7 linked regions of the Tribolium castaneum genome follow. Each later gene encodes a partner of the first gene's protein in a complex. Links are inferred from orthologs where the notes say so. Each region holds a gene or a part of one and is shown in the gene's direction. Other genes may lie near its edges.

Region 1 (4,001 bases):
CAACTATGAGGTCGTTGTTTCCGTCTATAAATCGGACGGGAGTGTGGCAATCGCGCACGGGGGAGTCGAGATGGGGCAAGGTATCAACACTAAGGTGACCAGTGACTTTGTTTAAATTTGAACTAATCGTACACGTGTAATTGAAGGTCATTCAAGTGTGTGCCTACAAGTTGAAAATTCCAGTCGAAAAAATTTCGGTCAAGCCTAGCAATAATTTGATCGCGCCTAATGCCCACATGGTCGGTGGTAGCTTAACATCGGAAACAGTTTGTCACGTATTACCTCACTCTTGTTTTTTTTGTTTTTCTCAAATATCTATCACAGGGTGTGATTAAAGCGTGCGATATCCTGTTAGAACGCATGGAACCGGTCAAAAAACAGCTCGAAAATGCCAGTTGGGAGGAAATTGTGCAAGAATGTTACAATCAATATGTTAACTTGTCGGCCTCTTCAATGTATAAGTGATTCGTTAAGTAATTAATTTCCGAATAATGTTTTTAGGGGTAGCCCTTCCGAACTGAAAAATTACGCGATTTACGGCGTTTGCTCCTCCGAAATAGAGCTGGACGTTTTAACCGGGCAATATATCGTGCAAAGGGTTGATTTACTCGAAGATGCCGGTACTAGCATGAACGCTGGTATCGATATGGGGCAAGTCGAGGGCGCGTTTGTCATGGGCATGGGTTATTTCACGTCGGAGAAGATTATTTTTAGCGAAAGCGGCGAGTTGTTGACCAATCGCACTTGGAATTATAAACCACCAGGCGCGAGGGACGTTCCAGTTGATTTTAGGATCAAATTTCCGGGCGATACGCCCAATGGCGTTGGAGTTCTCAATTCCAAAGGTAAATAGCTTGAATATGGAATCATAACTGTGGAAAATTGTAGCTATCGGGGAACCACCGCTATGTTTGGCGTGTTCAGTCCCGTTGGCGATACGCAACGCCGTTGCGAGTGCCAGAAAGGAAACGAGAAATTCGTGCGATGAATGGTATCCTTTTTGTGAGTTTTTTGTTAATTTGTTACATAATTGGATAATGAATACAATTTTGTAGCGGGACCCTCAACTGTGGAAGACGTTTTCACGAACTGCTTACACGATTTTAAGCAATATACGTTGTAAAATAAAAAATTGTATTAATTGGTTTGGTTTAATAAATGATAGCTGCGCAGTTTGAATTTAATTTCGCGCCACTCGCAGGTGGCGCCACCGCTTTTTACAATAAAAACAAGATGGTTGTCGTAAATAAAATTTGCGGTAGTTTAACCGTCTGTTGTGTTTTTGTGGCAAAATATTAGTAAAAACCGTCGTGTTTTAATGTGGTGTTAATGAAAATCAATCGCTGCATCTCCTGTGATTTCTATGGATGCCTAACCAATTGTGGTCGTAAATATGTATCCCAACTTTATGAATAAGCCAGCATTCATGAATAACCCACCGAATTCAACTTTTGGGGGTAAGTTTGCCGAACTGAATCGGTGGTTGTTACCGTGGTTGGTTTTCTAGCGTCCACTTCGACTTTCGGACAACCTGCCCCCAACACCTCTATGTTTTCATCAATGCAGCCCTCGAACATCTTCCAGTCTGCGAGCACCTCGTCCTTCGCATCGGCGCCCACAAGCCAAACCAGCTTCGGTACGTACACCCAACAGTTGTTAAAGTTAGTAGGAAACAGAAGTAGTATAACCTCACACTTGCCCCCATGATTGCCCATTATTGTGCAACACGTTCCCTTTTTGTTTACTAACACCAAATACACTAATTTGTATTTTACTAACCCGTATGATGAGAATTGAGTTGGTTTGCGCGAATGAGAGAGTGATTTTTGACAGATCAGCATTGCGATAATAAAGCGTCTCGAATTTGTATTAATTTTATTATGATTGTGACAGTTGAGCCGCCTCTCCCGCTGTCTCCAGATGAGGAGAACTACCTGACGGCCGCCTGTGAGTTTCTATTTTTTTGTTACTTTCAATATTTTTCATGAATTTTTTACAGATAATCGCGAAGCTATACGTAGATTTGAGGTGCAGGGTGGTGGTGAGTAATATTGTTCTACTACAGCCTCGTTTACGTTTCCTTGTCTTTTCAAAATGTACATTCTTTTTTTAAAAAAATAAATAAATATGTAAAAATAAAACAGATAACGTTTCCTTATGAAGTTATGACGGAATATCCCATACAACTCTTGTAAAAAGACGATACTCTCTAGGTCTTTTATTTTTTGTATACAGGGTGACCTGACTAATATTTCTATGCCGTTTTCATGAATTCATAGATCTACTCCAAGTACAAACTAAACACCTTATATATAACATAGTTACATTCCACGTAAAAAATAATGTAACCTTTATACTTTTATACTATTAATAGTATCTTTTTCCTGGAGATTGTACACATTAGAACTAGAACTCGCAGACGTTTATTATTCTCACAGAATTCAAGAGTTCAACTAATAAAATAAAAAACAAAGTTATAAGGCATTTTACTTGATTTTAGATAGCCCGGGCTTGGTTGATCCAGCCATTTTGAGATACGCTGGTGCTGGTGAGTTTTTTTGTCATAAATTTATCTTTATTATTTTCTGGAATTTTTAGGTGAGATTTCTCCCAGACCACCGTATCCCGAATTTCATTCACCTCGCGCTGCTGAGCCGGGACCCTCTGGTAAATCGAAATTATTGTTAAGTTGGAATTGTTTCTATATTTTTTTTTATTTAGGAGAACAGAGAGTTCCACAGCCATTAAGCCCGTTTACTATTACACGTAAGTTAATTTAAGGTATTACGTATATATTAAGTAATTTTCAATAGGCCAAGATGGTAGACCTCTTAACCGACAATTGACCCAATATCTTCAAAGTAGTAAGTATTGCGACAGTTGAGCTTTTCGATTTTATTTTCTTTTAAGTTGGTGGTGGCGGTATTTCAGTTGCTTCATGTGTTTGTAAGTAACGGTTTGTTATTTTCGGCCAAAATTTTTTTAAATATTTGATAGGTACAACAACCAGTTCTATGACTTATTCTATGGCCAATATTTCCGATCCAGAGTTTGGTAAGCTAAGTCGATTGAAACAATTAATTTAAAAGATTCATAGGTTTAGCTGATGAGACAATGAGCGCCCATTGTAAGTATACTTCTTGTCTCATATATCGGGAGACACTCCTATGATTTGTATTTATTTGGTTATTTTATTTTATTGTTTAGCTAGTTTAACTAGGATGTCTTGTAAGTCGTCGTCTGGTAAGTGAGATATTCAATGATGGTTTTAACGGAATGATGTGTGATCCCTATCCATATCCTTTTTTTTTCCCAAGCACAGAATGGGCAATAGTCCGATATTTCATCATTCAGTTTCTTAATAAATCTGTCTGTAGGCACAAATCCCTTTGGCCAGCAACCACAACCATCAACTAGCGGTTTATTCGGTGGCTCAAATGCATTCACTCAAAATAAATCATTCGGATTCGGCTCGGCCCCTCCTCAGCCCGGATTATTCGGCCAACAGCCGCAACAACAACCCGGAACCTCTCTTTTCCAATCAAACACTAATACAATGTTATTCGGAAGTAACGCTTTCGGAAACCAGACCACCGGCACTGTTATTAAATTCAATCCGGTTACGGGGACCGACACCATGCAAAAAAACGGGGTAACCCAGTCGATAAGTACCAAACACCACTGCATCACGTGCATGAAAGAATACGAGAATAAATCGCTGGAAGAGTTGCGATTTGAGGACTATTCGGTTAACCGGAAAGGACCCCAACAACAGGCCGGTTTCGGAAGCACCCCTTTCGGGGCTTCGACCACTACAACGCCCTCGCTTTTCGGGCAAACTGATAACAAACCCGCCTTCGGACAACAACCGCAAGCATTCGGCCAGGCGCCGGCTTTCGGACAAACAACACCAGCTTTCGGATCGACCAACACGACAAGCACTCCGACTTTGTTCGGAAAACCGAACACTTTCGGCGCTACCACTAGCACCCCAAGTTTTG
Region 2 (3,620 bases), on another chromosome or scaffold:
TTTTCTCCAAAAAAGAGAATATCCACATATTTCATTCGTGAAGCCTCAATTGGCCAGTTCCGTAATCCAAACTCCGCCAAAACAACTTAGTCGGCTTCCCGAAAAAACTTCAGTTGCACCTCGGGTTCTCGATTTTGCGCAGTCAACTCCCAAACCCACTGTGCTCAAATTCGACTCCACGGCAACTCCAATCGAAGGTTTACAAAATTTAGCCCTTAAATTCGAGGCTAAAAATTTCACAAATTTGCCCGAGAAAACTTTCACGCCTTTGACTAAAAACGTGATTGCTGGGTCTCCAAATTCGGCTTTTGTCTCAACTTCGGTTTCTGCATCAGCAAATACTTACAAACCCACCTTCATGGCTGCAACTACAGCCGTGACAGCGTCTATTATTAAAACAAGTCCCAGTTTTGTGGCAGTGACTAGTACTGCAACCATGCAAGCACCTAAATCGTTTGTTAATTTGTCTTCCCAACCAGTTACTAGCAGTACCCCAAAGGTGGGGACAAACCTCTTTGCCACATCTTTGCCTAAAACTACATTTTCGTTCAGTTTACAAACTACTAGTGCGGCGCCCATTTTAACAAGTAGTGCAGCGACTACCAAACCCAGTACGTCTATTTCTGTTTTTAATCTATCCACGAGTGTTAGTACTACCGCGGAAAGTACGATTTTTACGAAAACTTCTACTCCGTCATTTGGTATTGCTACCACCACAGCACCAACCTCCACCCAGTTTTCGTTCGGTGGCGCTACTAATACTTCAAGTATTTTCGGTGCAGCAACACAAAAAGTGACCGAAGCTGCGACATCGAAAACCTTTACGTTTTCTACAAAGCCAGTAGTTACTTCTGCAACAAGTACTCCAAATGTGGTGGTTTCTGCCGTTTCCCCCGTTGCTAGCAGTACCCAACGTTCAATTTTCCCTACGACTTCTGTAACAACCAGTCCTAAAACAACGCAAGCTGTCTCGAGTCCAGTCTCAATCCAACCCACTTTTGGTGTAACAGCTCCAAATTCAGTTAGTACTACCAGTGGCACTCCATCAACTCAGTCCTCACCGTTTTCATTGGGGGCACTTAAATCATCTATTTTTCCCTCACCGGCTGTTCCTGCCGTAACTACAACACCGAAAATCGCCACCAGTGCGGCCACTGTTGTTACTACAGCTGTTACAACTACCGGTGTTACAGCTCCTGTTGTTACAACAGTCCCATCTTCAACTAGTATTTTCTCAACGCCAGCAACAACTCCATCAATTTTCGCTTCGCCAGCAACAACTTCAACAATTTTCTCTTCGCCAGCAACAACGTCATCAATTTTCTCTTCGCCAGCAACAACTTCATCAATTTTCTCTTCGCCAGCGACAACTTCATCAATTTTCGGCTCTATTGTTAGTAGTACTACTCAGTCTCCAACCATATCTTCAGCTCCGCCCACAACTGGGTTTTTCGGTGGTGCTCTTTCAACTAAACCACTCTTTGGTGGTACCGAAGTTAGCGCCTCGAAACCGTCAATATTTAGCAGCACAACTGCATCAAGTGTTTTTGGGGCTGTTGCAACCACGGATTCAAACGTTTCGAAACCATCCATCTTCGGAGCCCTGCCATCATCCTCCACTACAGCTTCTGTCTTTGGTACTGTTGCAAGTACCGATAGTAATGTATCAAAGCCGTCAATTTTTGGCAATGTTTCGTCAAGTACTTCACCAGCGACTGTTTTTGGCGCTACCACACCTACCACTCAGATTTTTGGTGGTGCTACCCCTTTGTCTACTAGTTCATTTGGGGCTGCAGCTACGACACAATCGTCAATTTTCGGCTCTCCCACTACCCCAGTTTTTGGAACTCCTGTTGGTACCACTCAGTCGACTTTTGCCAGTCCTACAACGACAACTCAATCTCAAGGGTTCGGTCTTTTTGGAGACGCCGCCCAAAAGCCTTCCCTATTTAATGCAAAACCAAATGCGACTCAACCGTCAATATTCGGAAGCACACAGCCGTCGATATTTGGTGGTACCACAACTTCTTCAACGTTCGGCCAAAGCCAGCCCTTCGATGGGAGCAAAAATACAAGCGCTTTTGGTCAAGGTTCTGTTTTTGGTTCGTCAGGTAGTACGAACGTTTTCGGGGGTTCAGCACCCGCTTTTGGCCAAACGGGTGGTTCCGTCTTTGGAAATGCACCAACTACGAGCTCTGGGAGCATTTTTGGGGCAACGACTACAAGCGGAGGTACTTTCGGTACTAGTGGATCTTTATTCGGAGCACCTGCGTCCACTGCCCCCTCACTTTTTGGGGCACCTGCATCTACGACTCCCTCTATTTTCGGTTCGTCGAATGTCTTCGCCCCTGCCACTACTCAGTCCGGTACTTTCGGCACCAATACCAGTTCCGGAACGTTCGGTTTCGGAAGTCTCAATGTTTCAACGACTGCAAGTTCGGGTTTCGGTGCACCTGCGAACCCCTTCGGGGGCGATAAGAGCGTTTTCGGAGCCTCTCCAGTGTCGTCAAGTGGCTCAGTTTTCGGTTCCAGTGGTGGATCGCTCTTCAGTAACACGTCCCAGAGTTTTGGTACCGGTTTCGGGAACCAATCTTCCTTCGGCCAACAGTCGTCCTTCTTCGGGGGTAGCAGTTTCGGTCAGCAACCTGCGGGGCCCTTCAGTGGTGGGAGTGGAACTGTGGGACAAACCGGGTTTGGGGCAGGTCAGAGCTTCCAAAAACCGGGATTTGGGGCAGCTCCCGTTTTCGGGGGATCGCCCAGTTTCGGGAGTTCGCCTAGTTTTGGAGGAGCGCCGGCGTTTGGCAGCCCACCGGCTTTTGGGAATACTTCAAAGGTGTTTGGGTCCTCAAGCCCCGGGTTTGGGGCAGCTGCTAGTACCCAGAACACAGCTTTTGGTAATTTAGCCAATCAACCAACAGTAGGGTTTGGGAATTTGGCACAGCAAGCTGCCAACGCCCCAGCGCAGAGTGCGCCGTTCTCTGGGTAAGAATTTTTAAACTGATAAATGGCATAGTACATTTTTTTTTGTAGGAGCTCCTCATTCTCCAGTTGGCGTTAATGAAGGAAAATGTTTTACGTTAAATTTTGTAAGCTGAAACTAATAAATTTTTTTAAAATTAATTTTATTTTTCACTTAAAACACATAATTATTTCTGAAAATGTGTACACTATTGTCGCACCCTCCAGAGACCAGATACTTGTTATTGGACCAATCTACAGCTAGGACTTGCCCTTGGTGTCCCTCTAAATTATAAAGTGGGGCTTTAGGGCTTCTGGAATCCCACAATTTGACACCAGAATCGTATCCTCCCGACATAAAAAGGTGTTCATCGTATTTTGACCATTCAATTGAACTGACCCATAGCGTATGTGAGGTGAAAGTAGTCTTGACCACTGAACCCTCTGAAGACCTTGGGTCGTACAACCGAATATGTCTATCAGCTGAACATGCTAATAATGTGTTAGATAGGGAAGACCAAGAAGAATCCAAAAATGCCTTCTGGCCAACTATTTCATTCTTGATACCACACAACTCAGCATCCCAAAATTTAATCGTATGGTCCATTGACACAGTGCAAATTACATGGTTGTCAATCCAGGAAGTCGAAGTTATGGTTTCT
Region 3 (4,217 bases), on another chromosome or scaffold:
ACAAGATTTTTTTAATTGTTTTATTTTTGTAAAAAGCACGCGTCAGCGGTTGCTCGCGTTAAACGCGCATTTTTCTCATTCGTTTATCGATTAAGAATTTGTAGCAAATTGAGTCATAACATAAGTGAATTTCCTCGAAAAGTGCGCGGATTTTCGTTGACCGATGACGAATCGGTCATTTTTATGCAGCCCCCAATTCATCGCGTCAACAAAATGGGTTCCGCGAGTTTATATTTTTCTGCACATATTGCACTTGTTCCTTTTCATTAAAATGTTGGTTTGAAGAGAAATAGAAGGTCGCGTGACGTTCTAGCGTCTGTATAAATAATCCGCAGTGCACACTTCAAAAGGTCAATTTCCAGGATTGGTCATGAAAATTACAAGTTTCCTCGTTGTTGCAGGTGAGATTTTTGTTTGTAGGTCATGGTTGGCTTGGAAAATGTGACACATGGGTTCGTTTGTTTTGACCCAAGCCCACTCGAAATTACGCAATATTTGACCGAAACTTTTCAGGGCTTGTTTTGGCGAGTGTGGCGGGCCAGCAGGGGAACTCCTCTGACAAAATCTCCAGGTTTATCTATGATAGGTGTCGGGTTTATAGCACAGACGCTTCGGCTTACGATGATATAAAGACCCATTTGGGGCAATTTGGCGATTATCTTTCGTACGCTGCGAGTTTATTGCCCAATGGTAAGGAGCAGTTCTGCAACGACGAAAGGCCCACACTGGCCCGTCTAGCCGCCCAGCTTGCCCATGATGTCAAACCGTGTTTGCCCAAAGACGAGAAGTATTTGCCCAAGTTCATGGTTGAAAGCTTCACCTCATTTCTCGACTTTGTGTGTTCCCAAAGAACCATCGAAAGTAAGATTTAAAATTTTGAAAACTATTTTTTATCAAGGAAAATACAGATTTCTTCAGTACCCAAGGGGCAGATTGCCGCCAAAACTTGAAACTCAACCAAGAGGGGCAACAAGTTGGAAACTGCTTTACTAAACTATTCGCTCGGTTTAGCGACGTGGTCCGGAAAGACGACCTGTGCCTGTAGGTGCCCCCATGATTACAAACCCAACTTTTTCATCTTTCTTCTGATTCTAGTGACTTAAAAGCGTCCAAGAAGTGCTTCAGTGAGGCGATAGCCCGTAGTTGTCCCGATTTCGCCGCTTTTGAGTCGTTAAACAACCGATTTTTCCAAGCAATTCGCAAACCCTGTAACTCAGCTATTTCCATTGGCTTCAGCAGCGTTCTACTCCTCCTAGCATCATTCACTTCAACCAAGCTATTCTCATAGTTATTATATTATCCCTCCACGTATTATAAATGTTATTTTTGTTATAAATGTACGATAAATAAATAAATAAGTAGAATTTTGTCTTATTTTCTGACCCCGCGCCCTCTGGTGGCGAGTTAACCTGAGTTTGAAAATTATCTAACCGCCACTCGCCGACCTTGATTTTTTGTTTCCGTAAACCTAACCTAACTTTTGCACAAAAAACCGTTAAAACGGGCTAAAACCATGCAAGAAATCGCGTTGGGGTACCGGGAGGTGATCCCCGACCAGACGGTGTCCGATCCCTGGCGCGAAATCACCCTCAACACGGGTAATATCACAAAAATCGCCGATTACGTAAAACTGAGGTTATGTAACAGGGGGGACACAAGGGACGCTTCAAGATATCAAAGTCGCGGAAAGGGCCAACGGGTTTTGTTACCGCGACTCGACCAGACACCACACCAGGAATCGGTTTATCTACTGGAGGATTAGCCACGATGTCCTGGAGCTCGTGGAGCACAGTCTCGATATAAATCTCGCCGGAAATCGCATCAGATACAAATTTGTGGACACCCCGATTTTGGACGGGGTTTCCATCCATGAGACGTACGATAATGTGGTGGTTCTGGTGCCCACGGTGTGCAGCGTCCATAGGTTGGTGTTTCCGCATCCGGATAAGTACCACCGGCAGGACCATGTCGCGGGGGTTCACCCAGATCTGGCGGCGCCGTCGGTGTTCAGCGAAGCTACGGCCAACGAGGCGAGGGATCCCGCCACATTCCACTTTTTCACCAATTCGAGTAGGTCTTGTAATTTTTTAAGTCACGAGCCGGAGACGAGTGTCGTAACGAGCAAATCATAATTTTTTTTAAATAGGTTTGCCAAATGGCAAAATTAGATACGTTTGCATGATTATTTAAAATATTGGACTTCTCATGACTAGATGAACCCTTATTTAAAGGTTCTCAGCTGCCATATCTGGCCGCCTCTTCCCTGACCCTCGCTGAGGAGGAAGCAATTTTCGTGTTGGCCTACCACTCCGGCGAGATCCTCCTTCTGAGACAGTCCCCCGAGGGCAAAATCGACTCAGCTGAGCTAAAAAGCGAGTCAATCGTGCCCCGCTTTCTCTCAGGTCTCGCCGACAAGCTGCGGTACAACCCTTCATTTTTTCCGGCCCGGAAAACTGACGGTTTTTTTGCAGCCAAAAAGACAAAGAAGGCGACACTACCGTCAGCCTCATTTTACATACTTTCGGTCTTGAAACTTTCGCTTTGACACTTTGCCGCAACGGTCATTTGAAATTCTGGTCGTGCTCAAAGGCCGAATGTGTCTCAGTGATCGACGTCATGGCCGAAACCGGCGCCAGAAACCAGCTGCAAGGCGCTCAGAACCACATCCTGCGGAAAGCCGTCGATGGGTTTGATTCTGAGTGTCTGTTGGGTATTTTCATGAGTTTCGCAGCCAAGAGTCAGTTGCATGTGTTCAAGCCGATGCTCAGTGGCTCGCAGGTTCGGCTAGTGAGGCTTAATATACTTGATTTGGCTCAGGTGAGTCGTAGGTGGGATAAGTGATAGGGGGTAAGTTTGGGGTTTTAGACCGATTTGATCGATTTTACGATCTCGACAAGTCGGATTTGGTCGGTTTGGCGCGGAAAAGAGGGCCAATGTGAGGTGTATTCGGCCTCGAACCAGGCGGGGAGTCACTGGATTCCCGTGGTTCTGGAAAATGTGCCAGACGCCAGCCAACCGTTGAGCATCGACGGGGAGACGGATCCCAGGCAGAGCTACCTCCAGCACATCTTCCACCCGGGCAGGTTCCCCTTGCATATAATCAGCAAGGCTTTGAACGTAAGTTTTCAAGTCAAGCTGATTTTTTTACTGTATTTTTCGAAAATGTGCCATTTGTTTTTCTCTAAACCTCTTAGTTTCTTATTTGGTTGAGGCACAATTAATGTGACTCCTGGCGACCCGACAAAATAACAAATTGTTGCTTTTCAAACCTTTTATTTAAAAAATATACATAAAAATTATTGCGCGTTTTTTGTCACACCAACTGCTTATTATAGATTTACAAACGCTCGGCCGTCATCAGCGACTTGAACCTCTCGGCGGCCCATCTCAAGCAGCAGATCTGCATGGCCGTCGAAGACGAGGTCCAAAACGAGCTGAAGGAAACCGTCGTCAGCGACGAAGATTATCTCGAAACCGCCAGCTACTGCTGGCAACAATTCTACTCCTGTTGCGTCCAATACCACGTCGCTGGACTTAAACCTTTAGGCCTCCTTGTTCTTCCAAACTCCTCCGGGGCCGTACTTTTGAAAAAATCCATGATTTCGTTTTTGCGACCTCTCGATATTTTTGAACATTTCATCTACGAAAGCGACCACATGTTTAGGGACCAATTCACCAAATATTTCCTCTTGTCTGAGAGTAATTAAACCGCACAGTTAATTAATCAATTGTGATTGGTTCATTTTTTGCAGATGTTGATATCACAGACGACGTGATCAGTTTGTTCAAGGTCATTAATTATTTGGATTCGCAGATGAGTGAGATTTTCGCGTACACGTTCGAACGAGAGTTGGCACTGCTGAAGTCGCCTGATGTCGTCATGGGGGCTCTCCTTGAGCAGATCCAGCGCGAGATGGACACCGAGGTTCGTACTTTTTTTATGTTAAAAAAATATTCTGGGGCTTTTGAGCCCTAAAAAACGTTTTACAATTTATTATCTGGTACTTTTACCGTGGCGCCTGGCGAACCATTCTTATATTTATATCACAGAAAATTTTAATGACAGCTGCTTCTGTTGATATCTGCTCAAATCATTTACGGAAAACTCTTGAAGAATTTTAAAATTATTTAAAGCACTGCAATTTATTGTAGTTTTTGAGCTTTCGCGTATTTTTTCGATCTCGCGTAAATAGTTAAGCAAAAACCGCCCGATTTGT
Region 4 (4,201 bases), on another chromosome or scaffold:
GGCAATATTTTCCCTCAATTTACTTTTTTGCAATTCGGTAATAAGCTAGTAATACACACCATTCGTCGTCTTTATGGGCAACAAAAAATTCGTTAAGTTGCTGTCGCTGGAACTCCAATTTGTAGTCATTGTATTTTTCGATAGCTTCACTATCGGAAATGTTATCGTCCTGGGTGGCCAGAAACGCCTTAAAGGACATCATTGGCGGCTGCTGACCCTCAGACTGAGACGATGGCGGAGGTTCTCTGAAGAAATTACCAGCTCTTTGAAAATAGAAGATCACGCGTTAGTAACTGTTATTTTAAATTAAAACCGAAACAAAACGAAATCTAAAATAACAATTAAAACATGCGACTAATTACGATAAACATTCAGATACAGTTTGAGGAAACAATGAACGGTATTTTCTATAAAAATGCAAACCATGCAAGGCGATAAAATAAAACACACAATGGGGCAAAAGTCATTAGCAATTCCCTATTCTAGATTTCTTAACTGATATTATGTAAACAGCTAAAGCAGTTTTTAATTACGAGCATCATAATTTTTTTAATAAACCTTGAACGCTGGTGCACCATTTTTTCCATGCATTTTAGCAAAAACCAGCAACTACCTGTGCGAGCTTTGGTGATAGGGCGAGTAATGGTTGTAGTAGCTATCAGCATAGTAATCGTGGCGCAGCCTCTTGGGGGCTGGGTCCAGACTCGGCGAGTATCCCCTGTCTCTCACCCCCGGGCGGTACTCCCGAGGCCTAGGTCGTGACCAAGAGTCACTATAATTTCAACACTAGGACCGAATAAGCCTCGTATTGACTCTTACCGTTCGGCCCAGTCGTCCCTAGGTCTGGCAACCCGTTCGGCCCCCCTGTAAGTGGCTTCGGCGCGTTCACCTCTGAACTTATCGCGGCGTTTGCGGTCGTATTCATCGTCACTATCAGCCATTTCCTGCAATTAAGTCGGGAAAAGTGAGCACTAGCACTGAGCACCATGAGGGTGTAAGTAGTCAAAATGAGGGGGTGCTAACTGCGGGTGGTGGGTTACTGGTCTAGGTGGGTTCGATAGAAGACTCACTTTCTGTTCTAAAAATAATACTTTTGGCGATTTTCCGGCGAAAATTCGGATTTCTCTTGAGGAAGTTGATACAAAATTATGGCCGACACGTCAAAGACGCCGTGGGGGTTTTGCAGCCACCAACCTATGGTGGTATGACTGGTGACGCCGCATTATCGCAACATTTAAACGCAAAAAACTGCTCATTGTGGGATTATTTATTTTTGTTTCAATTACTACAGTCATGTAACTGAGTTGATAAGCTGTAAGAACAGCTACAACAGCCCGTAATTTGCATTTTTAATTTTTTTATTTGGATACCGGTCCCTCCAAAAAAGCAAAATCCCTAGCTTTGATTACTGACGTCAGTTGTAAGATGGTGGACGTCCGTTCGTGCGTTGTGAAATCTCATGTTGTAACGGTTTTATAAACGTTTTCTAAAATTTGTGAAATTGCTCGTTTAAATGTACGTTTGAGTGGACGCTTTTCAAAATGTTTCCCACAAGGAAAGCCGATGTCGATAAACACGTTGAAGAATGCTTGAAGAAGATAAATAACGAGACAGAGGTAAGGTTTTGAAATCGCTGTCATTCCGTTACGCCGGTCGAGAATTTCTCATTTTTTCGCGTTTTGAAAACGCGTTTGCTTATCAGAAAGGGCCCAAAAAACCATCACCCTTATCGATTCCACCTGTCCTAATTTTAAAAATTGCGTATCATTTATTATTGGAAGAATGTCTCACGCATCAATGTCACATGCAGGGAACCTTTGGCGGGAAATTATTTTTAGATTATAAAAATTCTTAAATTACGCTTCGTGTTAGGTCCAATTTGCCAAGATTTTTGGCAGTGTTGGCGAATCGTTGGCCTTTTTTGTTATCCAGCTGAGCCGGCAAGGTCATGCCTAATCAATAAATTGGCTAAACCCTTCTATCATTTGAAATACTCATTAACACAGTTATTAATTATTATATTTTGTAATTATTATTAATTTTGTTACACCTCTTACACCGTGGCGGCTTGAGGGTTCAAGAGTCAGTGAACAGCTAACAGCTAGTACACAATTTTTTTTTGTAGTTAATGATAGCTCCAAGTGCTCCAACATTTCATTTTTAACTTTAAATTTGTATGTGTAATTGTGTATGTATGTAAAAACTCGCCGTTACTTATTACAGAATTTGTCTCTGTATTCTTTAACTAAGTGTAATGTCTGGATTTTTTTTAAACAGCTTTGAGCTACAATCCATAATTTTTGCATTTGGACATGTTATTTCACAAGCTTTATGAATACCTAACTCAAAATCAATAACAATTTTTCTAGAATTAAGAGATAAATTATATATGAACATCTTTTAACAAAGTTGCATATTATTTTTTAGTTTTATTTAGTAACAAATCAAATACTAATGGTACGTAGTGCCCATTCCTAAAGCTATGAACGGTGAACATTTGACAAAAAAATCAGTACAAAATTCGAAGGTAACACCATGAAAAGTGTTTATACTGAACAAATAAATTTCTAAAACAACTAAAGACAATTGTTTTGTTTGTTCATCGACTCAAGATTCAAAATCTTCGTGCTTTTTGGTTTTTAGTTGTAATGTTGCTGCCAAATATTTCTTCTGATTTTCTGGAATCATTTTCTCTTAAGTCATCATCCTAATGTATTATTTTAGAATGTTTTTTACACAAATCTTTAACAGCTTTTTTTTTTACTGAGTTACTGATTATTTGCCGCGATATGGTTGAGTCTATGTTTGTGGAAACCAGAAAACTGTACTATTTTGTCTTCTTGAGGAAACTTCGGATATAATTTGCCACTAGCGTTTTTTACAATTTCTTCAAAAACTTTTCGGAAAAATATAATATTATAATCGTACTCGCACACTCGTAACTTTATTGAGTTATACCGACACTACGATTTTAAAATTCTAATAACTTTTGCTTTATATTGATTCTTCTTTCAATTCCTTTTAATTTTCAAACTGACTCTGGTGGGTATATTTCTAAGAAATTACTGTCTCATTGCATTGTCTCCTTAATGAGTCCCTATTACCTGGCCTACCAAGGGCATAATTGCACCCACTCTGTGGGGTATTGTGGTCGAACTCAGCTATCGGTTTAATCCCTAATTTTAGTATCAAAGGATTATTTTTGCAGCGGTGGACAAAAAAAATCAATGTTGGAGTTACAGTTAGGGTTGAATTGGCCTTCTTATATTATCCTCATATTTTGTCTGCAGTGCGATAAGCTGATAAAACACTAGACTTGATTTGTGATAGCTGATTAACTGTAATATTTCACTAATAAAGATACGTAAAATAGTAAATTTCGTTTTATTACAGCGCAATCTTCGTTGCCTGTCTTTCGCTAAGCAGTATTTCAAAATCGAGCGTTTCGAGGACGCTCGTCGTTACGTCTCGACGTATCTCAGTGCAAGACCAAATTCTGCAGAAGCTCATTGCTTGCTGGGCAAATGCCTGGAAGCACTGGGCCGTAAAGAAGCCGCTCTTCAAGCCTACACGACCAGCCTTCGGCTTGACTCCAAACAAAATAATCTCGTCCTGAAAGGTACGTGAAGGCTTTTTATTTTCTAATTTTTCGGCAACGTTTGCGTTCCAGTTTGCGAACTCTTAGCCTCCGACGACGTGGAAATGGACCATTCCGGTGCTCGGTACTTTTGCGAAATGGCCCAGTCTTTCGACCCTCACAATCCTGCCATCTTCAACCTGAAACAGCGCATCCTCACGTCGGAAAATGACGATCCTCGTGATGTCTCCAATCTGATTTTGAAGGAGTTAGAAACGCGGCCGACTGACGTCAAGTTGCGGGTGCGTCTGTTAAAACATCTCCTGCAACATCATTTGGTGAAAGAGGCGTACAAGCATGCTGCGGATATTGAAGCCAAAGACTTGGCGATTTTTTGCAATGTCACTTGGTACGAAGCCGTAGCCGAGGTCTTGGTCAAGTACCAAAGAACGGTTTCGTTGCCTAACTCGCTCGGTTGGGAGTTTTGGTTTTTGTCGGTCTCCGTTCTGGACAAATTGGCCGCATTGACTTTGTCCGAAACCAGCGAAAATATCAAAACTACAACCGAATACATCAATGCAATATTTAACTTTGACCAAACTTTGACAAAAGCTGCTCTCAACA
Region 5 (4,168 bases), on another chromosome or scaffold:
TCCCGCTTTCACTCAAGACGTACAAATGGAAGTGTACAGAACCAAATTATGATTTTTCTTTCTTCCTAGAGATGGATGTGAGAAATGGACACGGACTCGTGTTTTTAGTGCCTTTTATTTGGCAACATCTGTGATCTCTAGCTGATAAGATACAAGTGTTCGATTGTTGAATTATGCAAAGACTACTTAACTATTTTTATACCTTATTACATTGTTATTATTGAATAAGATTGTACAACTTGATACGCGTACGTGTTGAAATATTTATTTTCTTTTGTAAGCTTAGACTAGTGCTAACAACGAGTATTTATTACAACATTTTAGTACAATAATATTTAATTAATAATAAGCGTAGTGTTTGTTCAAAGAGTTTAAGCTACCAACGAAAATATAATATAAATAAAAAAAATTTTGTGGATTTTTGCCTCCTTTAAATGCCTACAACCGAAGTTATTGACAAAAAAAAACGCTCCAAGTACTGAAAAGTCGCCCAATATTTCCAGAATCTTAAGTCAATGAATTTCCGAAAATACAAATACATACCACTAATGTGCAGTAATCTAATTTTTGTTGAAAAGCGTACAATTTACCTCACTTTGTGCTTAAAATGTACTTTTCCTAACCACAAATGAATTGACAAATATTTGGAAAGTGATGTTTTTTACAAGTTTTCAAGAAAACTTGCTTTTTCACCAATTTCCAAAAATAATGCCCACAATAATGTGCAATAATCTAATATTTTGTTGAAAAACATGCAAGTTACCTTACTTTGTGCTTGAAACTTCCAAATTAACACTGAACTTCTAAACTAACACTTAACACTTCATTCTTCCAAATCCTGATTGTCACAGTAACTGAATTTAGGAATATCCGGGGAAAAACTGGTGTTTTTTTTCCACAATTTATAAAAAAAACGTAATTAAGGTAACTTTTTCACAAATTTTTCATAAATGTAGACAAAAAAGATCCGGGCACACACGAGAGACGCGATAATGGAAAAAGTGTTGCCAACCAAATTCACTGAATTTCCGAAAATAGTACCAATAATGTGCTATAATGTTAAATTTTGTTAAAAAAACATGCACCTTACCTTACTTTGTCACTGGAATCACCAAATTATGTAAAAATTACACTTAACACTAAGTAACATCATTTTTCCAAATTCAGTATTCACACATGATTTACAAATTTTTGAAAAAAACCGGTGTTTCCTACCACAATTTATAAATTGAACTTAATTAAGTTACGTAATTCAACACTTTTTTCACCAATTTTCCTTCAATTTGAACAAAAAACACGATAAACACAAACAGACGCGATAATTTGAAACAAATGACGATCGAGGAAAAGAAAAACTGTTACCAACCTGAATCTAGGGACTTTGCAACGCTCTGAGGCAACGCTAGACTTGTTTTTTGAGGTTATGCAACGGCTTTTTGTGTGTGTTTTTTATTAAAAATGGATAATGATTTGGAACGGTCGGTGCGTCTTCTCGAAGACGCTCTCCAGACCCCCACAAAAGGGCTATTTAAGGTCTCGACCGCAACTCCAAAGCGTGAAAAACCTAACCTCAGCTTTACAATAAACCCCGAAGACTTAACCGGCCTGGAATATGGAAGTGTTTATCAAAACACCTTGTCTTTATTTGTCGATGATGACAAAACGGTCACCGGGTCGGTGATCCAAGCAGGAACTCCATGGAAAAACACTGTTAATAATTTATATACAGAGTTTGCGGATATCCTGCAGGGGTCCACCGGAGGCCTTGATATCCTGGACGTGGCCGAAGACTTGGCGAGGTGTTGTAGTGACGCTTTGGCGGTGGTTAAGTCACTGAAAGCCAAAGTGGCCACTAGTGAATTAGCCGAAGAGAAATGGCTCGAAAATGAGCGGAATAATTGGAGACTGCTGTATGTCCTGTACCAGGATCGGATCCAGGCCCAGAACCACAGTAAGGAAGGGTTTGAGGAGGATTTCGGGAGCAGTGAAAAGAACTGTGTGTGCGAACTGTTCAAACGAGAGAATTTGGTTAGGGAAAGCCAGTTGGTGATCGATTGGCTCGAGAGGAACGCTCTGGAGAAGGGGGACCCCATTTTAATGCACTCAGACTGGACGTATGGATGGGAACACACTTTGCATCAATTGCTAGCACCTGATGCTATTGCAATTGGGAGTAATGTGGATATTATCAAGAACATACATCCAGATGCGCCACAGTTTCAGCGCTTATCGCTGCACCACTTGGATTACGACAATGACAAAAAACTATGTCAGAGAATTTTTATGGAAATTAGGTGCGGCAACCTTGAGGGCGCCCAGGAAGTTTGTGCTGTTTTCAGCCTTTTATTATTTATTCAATAATTAAATTTCAGTTATGTTACAACAGTGGTTATCCATGGCGCGCTGCGATGTTAGAAGGCTGGAAGCTTTTTCATAATCCCAACCTGGAAACAAGTCTTGAAGAGTATAAAGACGTAGAAGGGAACCAAAGGCGGGATTTGTGGAAATCTTGCGCATTAGATTATTGTCATAGGGTAAGTTTTTCGTTCCACAGCCTCTTTGACAGTTCGGGAACTTCGCTATCTTTTTTTTTGATACCATTGTTACTAGATAAACCGATGTCACTTTGGCAGTTGTAAAACATGTATTTATTTTATGTTTATTTATTTAAAATTTCTGGAAAATAATTAACCAAATTTAGGACTGAAGACGAAGTTTCGTATCTATCAAGGAGGCTGTTTTATAAATTTGAAAAAACTACTAAAAAATTTCAGTCAAACTTGAACATTTATGAAAAAGCCGCCATTGGTAGTCTTTGTGGTTTCTTGGAGGGCATTTTGCCCGTTTGTACCACATGGGAGGACCACCTGTGGGCCTACATGCGAACCATGGTCGATATTCGTGTTGAATCGGAAATTCGCGACTCAATCATTAAAAACTACATACCACTACCTGAAGAATATTGGGAACAAAAGAAATCATTAAGTGAAATTTTTACAATTTTGGAAGCCTCGAAAAATATTGACATTGCAAAAGAAGCGCATGAAATTGATCATGTAATTCAGAAACTTGTCATTTTAGACGAAATTCCCACACTGATACGCCTCCTAGATCAGTGGAGTGAAGATCTAAGTGTTACGACACAATCTCTTCGATTTTATGCTCACTTAGTTTTGTTTTTTGAAAGCGTCGGAGACTCCACTCATAGAAAAACGTGTGAAAAAATCGTCGAAACGTAAGTTTTCTTGGTTGTATAACTCGACTTAAGGCCGGGCGCTTTAGTCTCCCGGTATGGTGACTATAAAAAAATTTGTGTCTAGTGTATTTTATGTTCTTAATGTTGACCATAATCTCGTCAGAACTAAATTATTGCTTTTAATATTTTTACCACTTTTTTATAGCTACGGTATTATTTTTTGTTTTATTTGACTTCGAGCTTCTATAAAAAAACATAAAGTGTTTGCTACTCACCGCTGCGTTGCTTGTGTTTTAATATCATTTGTTTAATTAGATATATCGAGCGTTTGAGCGAAATGAACGAAACCCAGCTTGTGGCCTTCTACGTGAGCAAGCTGGGAAAATCCAAACAAATCCAACTTTACGCCAAACACTGCGAAAAACTGCTTTCGACTGAGCAACGCAAAAACGCCCTTACTTACGCTGAAGATTTCAGTTTGGACGTATTTGCTATAACGCAACAAATCGTCGAAATTATAACAAGCCGACCGTCTGAATCCGAACTTCCCGGTAATCTCCAAGGTAAAATCACCGAAATCGACGAACTCAAAATCTCCGCTATTGATTGGCTGATGTTTTACGAGGAGCAACGAGCCGAAGCATTGGCTCAAACCAATTCTATTATTTTCAAATTTCTGATTTTGGGCAAATTAGAAGCAGCCCAATTGGCAATCAATAAAATTCCTTACGATTCTATAGAGAAGATACGCAGCGAAGAGCAGATTCATCAGATTGTTAAGAATTATTTGAGTTATAAAGCGTATTTGGATGCACATGAGGCGTTTAACGAGTGGTTTAGACAGTATAGGAATAAGCCGATGCCACCACCTGAACTGCCCGAAAATGCACAATTTACTGAAAAAGTTGCTCATAATCATAAAGTCTCGCAGTTTAATGCCGAAGCGGAACGGTGGAAATTGACGACATCGCA
Region 6 (4,068 bases), on another chromosome or scaffold:
TTGCGCTCATGTTATATTTTTTTGATAAAACCATTAACATTATTATTAGTTTAAAAAATATTGGTTACGAAAATGGTATACCTAATTTTGGTATGTTTTCATGCTGAAGTAAATTTCTGTCTCCTGTCACATATGACTGACCATGTAAAAACTCGGTCAACGAAGATCCCTAATCCACTTTAAATCATCAGCAACATATATTGTAAAATGCTGAATATTCATGTTATATAAACTAATCTATAGACATTGAAGGAACTTGCTTCATATGGATTTACTAATAATGTCCGGGAAATACAGGGAATGAATTGCCAAGAATGAATGTCTAATATTTTTACAATTATTGCAGACATTATTTTCTGTGTTTAAATACGTACGTATCATTGATTTTTTGGGAAAGTTCATTACATAAAAAGGCAAGGATAATTTGGAATTTCTATTGATGTGATTGTTTAGATAAACAATTTCGTTGTTAATTGTTACTCTACTCACTATAGTGAATACAGTAAATCAAACTCTCAGTAGGAAGTACTGCAGCCACCTTTTATTTTCTGATTTTTTTCTTCAATAAATTTGCCACAAAATTAAAAAATGCATTTTTTATTTCATAGTGAGAAACAACACAAATACGACTATTGAAATGTACCTAAACCTGCCAGCTTGATGAATTTTCGATTTCAAGAAAATTTTACTTGAGATTTAAAAAAAATTGAATTGTTAATTTTAAATATTGCCGACACGTTAATTTTTTTTTGTGTATTAAACAGTATTTAACATTATCTTAATAATAGTATGTTAAAGGAAGAAATATGTTTTTTATCGCGGCAGGTATAAAAATAGCAGTAAAATTTGATAATGAATTTATTAATAAATATTTGTGATAGGCAACCGCACTAAACACTTGTGTTTTGGCAGTTGCCGCCTTGAAAAAATTTCAATATTAAATTTTTTTGAGGTACTATTTATACGTTTGAAAACTGTAAAAGTTATTCACATTAAATCAAATTGCATGTATTTTTTTGATTTTTTAAAAATTTGTAATTTTTTATAAAAGATATTTGGCAAAAAATATGGTTGTATTTTTAAGGGTAATAAACATTTTTATTAAAATTTTAAATATTTGTTGTTATTTTGTTCAAAAACTTCAAGTAAATTAACAAAATTAATTTAATGATTGAATTCAAAATTTTGAAAAATCAGCGGGAGAGCTTTGTTCCTAAAGCGCCAACTTCGTGTTCTTCGAGGGGGAGCGCGCGCAAAAAGCGGCTAACTTCACACTTGGAGTCCGCCATATTGGATCCTCGTGTGGTGAAAGTTGTCATAGAAATGTGTGATTTTCCAAAATTACTTTATTTGTGTAAAATAGACTAAGAACAATTGTAATTATGGCAAATAATAATAATGAAGGTGCCGAAAACAGTCCAGACAACTCGAAAGATGCAGGATTGGATAAGGTTTGATAAAATGCGTTCTTTGCACATATTCGCGCGTTCTCACCTCTAAATATAGCTATAAAAGTTTCTCACGAAATAGTGTCTTTACACTGCCCAAAAGTCGCCCCAGCACCTCCATGCAACCTGGCAGTGCCACCAGCACGCGTTTTTAACCTTAGTTTCTCGCATTTATTTATTTAACCTTGACGTGTAAGGTAGCTAACAGGTCCTATTTTGAATTTGTCTTGCAGTCGTTCGTGGGCAAGTTCGTGTCGGGGCTTTTCAACAGCACCCCCTTGTCCAAGTGGTTCGGCAAAGACTCGGCGTCCAAGTCGGTCAAGAGGCGGGAGGACGACGACGACGACGACGACGACGACTTTGATGCCTCCTACGTTTTCCAGCCACCAAGCAAACGTGTGAAACTACCGTCTGAAGTGGAACACAACAATTACAGTGCACATATATTTGAATCGCCAGTGACTGTGCATAATGCTTCCAATAATGTTAACAATGTTTCGTCGAAAGTGTTTGGGAAGTTTCCTGAACCGGTGGCGGGGCCGTCGGGGGTTAAATCCCGCAAATTGTTCGACAGACACCGTTCTGCTAGCACAAATACGGTCTCTACCAATTCGTTCGAAAATCAAGAAATTGTTAACGGTGAGAATGACTCTGACAGTGAAGAATCAACTAGTGGCTATTCTTCGGCACCCAAATTGCTTAATCAACCCAAAAGTGCAGAAATATCTCACAAGGAAACATGTGAAAAAGTCACTCCTAAAACTAGGTCCTTGTTTACTTCATGTAAGTTTACGTTACATAATGTTTGTTTTTAGTTTTTTTGCAGTGTTTTCTTAACTTTGGCAACCGTTGGGTACATAATTGTCTCAGGAATACTTTATTATACTTTTAGTATTGTGACTCATGCCAGAAAAATGCACAATATGAAATTACAAATTATCAAAACTCATAAATACGATCCGTTTAAAACCATAAGAAACTGATAATACCACAAATGATTAAATTAAAGTTTTTCTCTTATCAGCAACTTTCATGCTTTTGTATACAAAAAGCAGGTCTCCAGTTACCAAAGTAAGAAAAATGTTTACGCTCATTGCTGTTAGCTAAAGTCTGTAAAAGACCTCTTACATTTATATCATTGCCAGTATCTGCAAGACTCTTATGACGAACATAAGTTGTTTGGGTATGAGGTCAAAGTCTAGTAAAAATTGTATTTATGCAATAAAGGTAAAATAAACTATCTGATCTGTTTATAGGCTTCTAATGAGATATTGATAATTGTATGAAATAAGGTTAAAATACGTACCGATATAATAAACTTGTTATGGTTATTAATGGAACTAGTAATTTCCTTGTTTTGTTTTCTTTTATAATATTTGACCTCTAGGTTAAAGTACAGCATCGCTGTACACACAAAAATGTCATCACTTTCATTATACCTACGTGACGAGCAACAAGTAAATTAGTCACTGTTCTCGTATTGTTAATAAATTTTGTTTTACATTTTTACCTTTTTTTTTAAATTCTTGAAATTCCGGCTCGTCATTTTTGAGCTTGTCTTGACTTTTATCTATTTTTACCATTTATTAATTCACTATTATGAGCACTTTGTTGTCCTTTTTATAATTAAATTCAGAAACCTAAAAAACTCTTTCTTCTACCTTCTTGGGTGAATTTCAAAAATTAGCGTTATAAAAAATTATACACTTATTAGAATATCAGGTTCTATAATAAAATTGCTTTAACAAGAAGATTTAAATAGTTTAAATCTGGACAATATGTCACAAATCGCGTCTATTCAGTTTTTCACTGAGTCTGATATTTTTTCACTGGAATTAATGAAAACGTAAAAAATAATCGTTTGTTGCCGACAGTAGGTCGAGTAAAGATTGTTTTAAAAAAATGGGGAAGAGGAAACGTGATTTTTTTATTTTTTGTTATTAAAAAAAATACAGTTTAGCGAAACACCAGTCTTTACATAATTTGCTTTTCATATTGTGTACTCGGAAAAGGGGAAATAAAATCTTAGTCATGTTCTAAGTCTATGATTTAATTCTTGATGAATCATCTTTGCCAAAATTTGAACCGGTCGAGCTTGATAATGGAAATTATAATACAATGAAAAAATCCATGAGTATTATTCCGGCTTCAAATGCAGACTTGGAGTATTTTTGCTTATTTTTGCTATTTTCAGGATTGAAAATATACAATTTTGAGTACTTTTTATAAAAAAATATTCAAGAGTTGGCAAAAGTATGGACATTATACTTCAAATAGTTATTTAAATTGTGCCACACTCCTTATAAATCATGTGTTTTTATGAATATTATCGGTTTTGTGTTTTCTTTAGGCTTATTAATTAAAAAATTGAAACAATCAATTCGTTTTTTAGCAAACGAATCAAGCGGACGTACTTTATTCTCGGAAAGAAGCCCCAACATGAACACTTCTTTGAGTTCAAGACGGCCATCGTTTAACGCATCGACTTTCGGCTCGCCGAACTTTATTGACAGAACATTGTCTACCAAGAGAATATTGAGCTCACCTTTCTATAGCGGCAATACAATTTATGGCGGCGCCTCTGCATACGGACGTAGGTTAGGTAAAATTAGCGAAGAAA
Region 7 (4,300 bases), on another chromosome or scaffold:
TTGATATATTTAAATCGTAGTATTTTTTTGTTAAAATCTAGTCTTAATAAATGTTTTTTGTGACACTTTGTTTTATTTTACGTCAAATTAAAATGGGTAAAAAATTGAGTCGTCCACGAGGTAGCGAACAAAGCACTTATTCCCATATTTTTTATACCGGGAGTATCGAAACTATTCCACCATCAATCACCTATCCTTCGATATGTACTTCCCCCTCGTTTCATTTGTCTGAAAAGCCTTCGGTGTCGAAGTGTGACAGTGAATTGATTCATTACGGCGAACTGCAGAGTATGTACATCAAGTCTCAGACTTTCACAGCTGATCATTTGGCCCCCTTGACCATCAGAACCTCACAGTTAGTGCTGTCGCTTCTGAAGAGGCATTTGGGGCAAATTGTTAGCGACATCCACGCAGGGTACTGTTTTATTTAATTTAATTTTTTTGCCTATTCAAAAAATTCATAACTCAAAAACTAAAATTCGTAGAACAAAACGGTTTATTCCAGTGAATTCAGCGACTCATTTTACGTATCATATGTTTTTTTTACAACACTAGCTTACTCCAGAACGTATTTAAACACTTATTTGAATTTGAAAAATGGTGGATGCGCCGGGTTATTTTCTATTTTTTGGCAGGACATTGAAAATGCCTGATAAAGTGGTAGAAAAGTTTGGGGCTGCAAGTGCCCGGAACCCGAATCAGCAAACAGACACATATACTATCCAAAGACGAATGATCACTCATTTCGTCTCGTTACTTCACGTTCATGAAATGGTTTTAACTTATCTCAAACAGAGACGCATCGAACAAGCGCTCGATTTAATCAAACAAATTGCAGTTAGCCACGCACTTAAGGGAATCACAGTGACTGAATTTCGGGTAAGTCCCGATAATTCTCTAACTTGTTTTGGCAAAATACGACTTGCAGTTAGTGGACTGGTTTATTGTCAATTATTTGATAAAAAATAAAGTAAGCACTGACGAGAACATAAACCACTTGATGCTTTACTTAAGCACCCTTTCAAATTACATTGTGCGATATTTCGAAAGTCAAAGTGTTCGCCATACGATGCTCCGGGACATGACTAGTGTGAAAGTAAACGATCGGAGCAACAAAGCAAGGGAAAACTACCGTTTAATGAAACAGTGGACCTCCAGAATTGAACATTCCAGAGGCCAAATTAAGGATCTAATTGACAAGCTCCTCGCAGATCAAGCCCGCATGCAGGAAGCCAGAGAGGCAGAAATTAGGAGCATTGACACTCAAACGCTCAAAGAAAAAGACTTCATTATGCGATTTTTCGTACGCAAGAAACCGACAGAATCGCGCTCAACGTCACACTCGCACCAGGAGAAGGCCTCAACGTGAGTATCACCCCAATATAACAAATTCAAAATACCCGCCCACAGGATTGACGGCGAAGTTAAATCCCTACCGTTACCGTTCTCGCTACCAACCCAAAACGAAAGTAACCCTAGTAACCGAACAGATTTCTAAATTACCGACCCGGCTAACCGCTCTCCTCAAACAAAATTCGAAAAAAATACGGTTTTTTTGAATGAAAAGGCGCAAAATTTCGTGTTATTTAACGCTTCCCGACCCGTATTAATGGACAATACCGCCAAAACTTTCGTAAGCAGCGATCAATTTTTGAGGTTAGGTCATAATAACTTGTAGGTTATTCCAAATGAGTTATGCCGACGTGCTGGAGTGGCGGCTTCGTGGCTTTCCGTCAACGAATTCGGTGTTTTCGGCCACCAGAAAACACCAAAAGTTGATAAACCGAGTCACTTTGCCCCCTCGGACGCCTCTGTGTTTCAGCTGCGCCCCGACATTATTCTCTTCAAACCAATTTTACGCAAATTGGTAAATGAGGCCAACGGGACGTTTCTAACCCTTCAAGCCCTTGTAGCCACTGAGGGCGACCACAAGGCCGAATTATTGAAACTTAGCCGGCAGTACAGGTCCATAATAAGGGCCTGTTTGGAGAATTTGCAAGACGAGGTGATGCGAGCCGATGGCGATTATCGCGAAGAATTGCAAAATTACATTACGATTTTTTACTCAGTTGAGTGTATTTGGCACTTGTGTGAAATCTTATTTGTTGATGCGGTCCCAGGTGGGTTAGTGACACGGATATCTAAAAGCTAGGATGCGAAACGACGTACAAATAAAACGTCCTGAACTCGGTAGTTTTATCGTTAACTATATTTAAAAAAAATTCCGGACTTTTTTAGGTTCAGAAAATCCGGTAATTTCGTACATCGTTTCCTCCTAAGTTATAGACCTCTGTAGTGACACAAAATTTGGGGATTTTTGCCAAACAGTTGGGGTTTTAGGCAACATTGTTTTGCCCCACTTACTGGACTGGATTCGGTTTCATTTTCCGAAATATGACCGAAATGCGGCAAGTATGTTGGCTGGGGATTTGGGTGGTTTGGAGTCACACCCTGACTATTGGGAAACTGTCATTGGGTCACTATTACAAGGGCGGGTCAAGGTCGTTAGGGCCCTACTTAAATTACACTCAGAAGCTGAGTCACAACCTTTCAGAATTGTGGATCAGTGTCTGAGAGCAATGCCGGTTTATAACGTAAGTAGGCTGGGAGAAATTGACAGGTGTTCATGGCCGACTTTAGATGTTTAGTGGGACTTCAATCGCTGAATTTAATCTACAATGGAATCATTGGGTCGTGGATGTTCAATCGAAAATTGATGCGAAAATGTTTATTTCTTGTTATAATCTCAATTTGATTATGAAGGTTTTGTTTTAAGTGTGTTTGAGTTGGTAGTTTTCTTTATAAGATTTTTTGTAGCTTACGGTTGGTAACGAAATTGCATGGGGGGAAATACAGCAGTATTGCGAGACGTGGTATGAAATGTTAGCCGCGTGGTTATTTTTTACCCAACCTACTGTTAAATCGTTTGAGTTGGGACAGTTTGCCAAACAGTGTATCACGAAAATGTCCATAGGGAATAGAATTAAGCATTTGGATAGGATGTTGTTGGCAGCAATGGAGTTTGATATTTTACAGGTAATATGGCGCCACCTCTGTTAAGTTATTAAATAAAACTGAGACTTTTGAATAATCCTGTATTTTTCGGCTATACTTTTAGTTTTACACTTTTTTGCAAATGTACACATAAATTCTAACATTTCTTTGCCAGGTGATTAAAGAAATCCAAAATATGACAGACAGTGGCTGGTTTGTGAGCCACTTAACCGACCTACTTTACCATTCAGGCCGTCTAAGCGACACAACTATCGAAACTATTGAAAATTTGTGAGTCCCCGATTTTTTTTAAACCGTTTATTTTACAATTATTATTTCAGCCACCCTGATAAATTGCGCGAGTCATTTTTAATCGATTATGGCTCGCTTTTAATGGGCCATAAGTCACTATGGCAGGTCGGTTTAAGCTACTTGGACCACTGTCCCAGCGATGGCCCTGAAGTCACAAAATTACTACTTGCAAGACTGCCTCTAAATTCCGAAATGCGGGCTGAGAAAATTGTGAGAGAGGCTCTGAACCGGAATTTAACCGAAACGGCACAAAGTATTTGTAAAGTGCAAGGAATGGCTTGTAAAAACCGGGGGCGTCTGGGACACGCCCTCGCCTGGGCCCTCAAATCACAAGACGGCACTTTTGTGTCGTTTTTATCGAACAAATTTCTGCGAGAGTATGCCGAAAGTGGCGATTTGAACAGTATTGATCTTTTGGATAATCTCGGATCGTGTATTTTGGCAAGCGATAGGTTGATGTTTTTAGGCAAATATTACGAATTCCAGAAGTTATATCAAGCGAACGAGTACAAAGAAGCCGCCAATTTGCTCGTTTCGTTACTTGAGTCGAAAATAATACCAAACTTGTAAGGGGAAAACACTTAAAATTGCGGTTTTTTATCTAAAGATTATCTTGTAGTTTCTGGAGTATTCTATTAACTGACGCAATACCGCTACTTGAGTGCGAAAAAATGGTTTTTTCCTCAACTGATACCTACATCATTATGCAGTGTTTGGAAGAGCAGGAAAAAACCAAAGACTTGAAAGACAAACTTCCGATCTTGAGACTGTCAGCGACCCGGAATTTAGCACGAGCTTTGGTACACGAAGCCCAATTAAAATGATGATTTTTTTAACAATTTTTTATTAAATAAATACTTTACGTAAACAATAATACTTTTAATTGGCCACTTTAAGTGCACTCGCCAAGTCCTCAAATTCCTCAATTTTCGTATCAGTGATTGTGTCAGGGTCACTGTAAGTCACTCTGGCCGCAAAAAATTTCTCTTTTAAC

The links.
Region 2: Nup98-96 (region 1) and Nup214 share a complex: the UniProt entries of both Drosophila melanogaster proteins name them as parts of the nuclear pore complex. The link is inferred for Tribolium castaneum from reciprocal best matches to the Drosophila melanogaster genes Nup98-96 and Nup214.
Region 3: Nup98-96 (region 1) and Nup160 share a complex: the UniProt entries of both Drosophila melanogaster proteins name them as parts of the nuclear pore complex. The link is inferred for Tribolium castaneum from reciprocal best matches to the Drosophila melanogaster genes Nup98-96 and Nup160.
Region 4: Nup98-96 (region 1) and E3 SUMO-protein ligase RanBP2 share a complex: the UniProt entries of both Drosophila melanogaster proteins name them as parts of the nuclear pore complex. The link is inferred for Tribolium castaneum from reciprocal best matches to the Drosophila melanogaster genes Nup98-96 and Nup358.
Region 5: Nup98-96 (region 1) and Nup107 share a complex: the UniProt entries of both Drosophila melanogaster proteins name them as parts of the nuclear pore complex. The link is inferred for Tribolium castaneum from reciprocal best matches to the Drosophila melanogaster genes Nup98-96 and Nup107.
Region 6: Nup98-96 (region 1) and Nup153 share a complex: the UniProt entries of both Drosophila melanogaster proteins name them as parts of the nuclear pore complex. The link is inferred for Tribolium castaneum from reciprocal best matches to the Drosophila melanogaster genes Nup98-96 and Nup153.
Region 7: Nup98-96 (region 1) and Nup75 share a complex: the UniProt entries of both Drosophila melanogaster proteins name them as parts of the nuclear pore complex. The link is inferred for Tribolium castaneum from reciprocal best matches to the Drosophila melanogaster genes Nup98-96 and Nup75.

Annotation. Positions count from the first base shown.
Region 1 is NC_087403.1:3,514,342-3,518,342, reverse strand, and holds the start of Nup98-96 (nuclear pore complex protein Nup98-Nup96), read left to right. Parts: upstream 1-1,201; 5' UTR 1,202-1,393; coding exon 1,394-1,457; intron 1,458-1,507; coding exon 1,508-1,636; intron 1,637-3,377; coding exon 3,378-4,001. Other genes in the region: uncharacterized protein LOC656938, read left to right, coding at 1-94, 147-275, 325-455, 502-845, 889-1,002, 1,056-1,123. UniProt on the Drosophila melanogaster protein: Part of the nuclear pore complex (NPC). Required for MAD import as part of the Nup107-160 complex and required for nuclear export of Moe probably via its association with Rae1. Plays a role in nuclear mRNA export.
Region 2 is NC_087398.1:6,201,336-6,204,955, reverse strand, and holds the end of Nup214 (nuclear pore complex protein Nup214), read left to right. Parts: coding exon 1-2,982; intron 2,983-3,030; coding exon 3,031-3,058; 3' UTR 3,059-3,120; downstream 3,121-3,620. Other genes in the region: ribosome biogenesis protein WDR12 homolog, read right to left, coding at 3,134-3,620. UniProt on the Drosophila melanogaster protein: Part of the nuclear pore complex. Serves as a docking site in the receptor-mediated import of substrates across the nuclear pore complex including emb, RanGAP and phosphorylated Mad. Protects mbo/Nup88 from proteasomal degradation at the nuclear pore.
Region 3 is NC_087395.1:25,114,010-25,118,226, reverse strand, and holds the start of Nup160 (nuclear pore complex protein Nup160 homolog), read left to right. Parts: upstream 1-1,417; 5' UTR 1,418-1,513; coding exon 1,514-1,598; intron 1,599-1,647; coding exon 1,648-2,070; intron 2,071-2,231; coding exon 2,232-2,421; intron 2,422-2,471; coding exon 2,472-2,817; intron 2,818-2,865; coding exon 2,866-3,117; intron 3,118-3,335; coding exon 3,336-3,699; intron 3,700-3,752; coding exon 3,753-3,925; intron 3,926-4,217. Other genes in the region: uncharacterized protein LOC655733, read left to right, coding at 371-401, 514-861, 909-1,041, 1,096-1,288. UniProt on the Drosophila melanogaster protein: Functions as a component of the nuclear pore complex (NPC). Involved in poly(A)+ RNA transport. Required for nuclear import of Mad. May play a role in double strand break DNA repair. Essential for nephrocyte development.
Region 4 is NC_087394.1:28,910,596-28,914,796, forward strand, and holds the start of E3 SUMO-protein ligase RanBP2, read left to right. Parts: upstream 1-1,401; 5' UTR 1,402-1,541; coding exon 1,542-1,616; intron 1,617-3,393; coding exon 3,394-3,619; intron 3,620-3,670; coding exon 3,671-4,201. Other genes in the region: Ars2 (serrate RNA effector molecule homolog), read right to left, coding at 60-263, 614-772, 820-941. UniProt on the Drosophila melanogaster protein: E3 SUMO-protein ligase. Component of the nuclear pore complex (NPC), a complex required for trafficking across the nuclear envelope.
Region 5 is NC_087395.1:26,509,934-26,514,101, forward strand, and holds the start of Nup107 (nuclear pore complex protein Nup107), read left to right. Parts: upstream 1-1,368; 5' UTR 1,369-1,458; coding exon 1,459-2,322; intron 2,323-2,372; coding exon 2,373-2,534; intron 2,535-2,774; coding exon 2,775-3,235; intron 3,236-3,511; coding exon 3,512-4,168. Other genes in the region: sodium-coupled monocarboxylate transporter 1, read left to right, coding at 1-52. UniProt on the Drosophila melanogaster protein: Plays a role in nuclear pore complex (NPC) assembly and maintenance. Required for nuclear import of Mad. Mediates the association between the nuclear pore complex and a subset of active chromatin regions adjacent to lamin-associated domains.
Region 6 is NC_087394.1:31,197,843-31,201,910, reverse strand, and holds the start of Nup153 (nuclear pore complex protein Nup153), read left to right. Parts: upstream 1-1,268; 5' UTR 1,269-1,382; coding exon 1,383-1,451; intron 1,452-1,681; coding exon 1,682-2,231; intron 2,232-3,840; coding exon 3,841-4,068. UniProt on the Drosophila melanogaster protein: Component of the nuclear pore complex (NPC), a complex required for the trafficking across the nuclear envelope. Functions as a scaffolding element in the nuclear phase of the NPC.
Region 7 is NC_087399.1:876,580-880,879, forward strand, and holds Nup75 (nuclear pore complex protein Nup85), read left to right. Parts: upstream 1-1,500; 5' UTR 1,501-1,609; coding exon 1,610-1,633; exon of another isoform or gene 1,634-1,678; coding exon 1,679-2,120; exon of another isoform or gene 2,121-2,340; coding exon 2,341-2,594; exon of another isoform or gene 2,595-2,640; coding exon 2,641-2,763; exon of another isoform or gene 2,764-2,817; coding exon 2,818-3,036; exon of another isoform or gene 3,037-3,169; coding exon 3,170-3,285; exon of another isoform or gene 3,286-3,335; coding exon 3,336-3,872; exon of another isoform or gene 3,873-3,925; coding exon 3,926-4,130; 3' UTR 4,131-4,180; downstream 4,181-4,300. Other genes in the region: mRpS23 (small ribosomal subunit protein mS23), read left to right, coding at 1-20; uncharacterized protein LOC660898, read left to right, coding at 51-415, 636-879, 929-1,365, 1,411-1,498; oxidized purine nucleoside triphosphate hydrolase, read right to left, coding at 4,186-4,300. UniProt on the Drosophila melanogaster protein: Component of the nuclear pore complex (NPC) that seems to be required for NPC assembly and maintenance. Required for nuclear import of phosphorylated Mad via importin msk.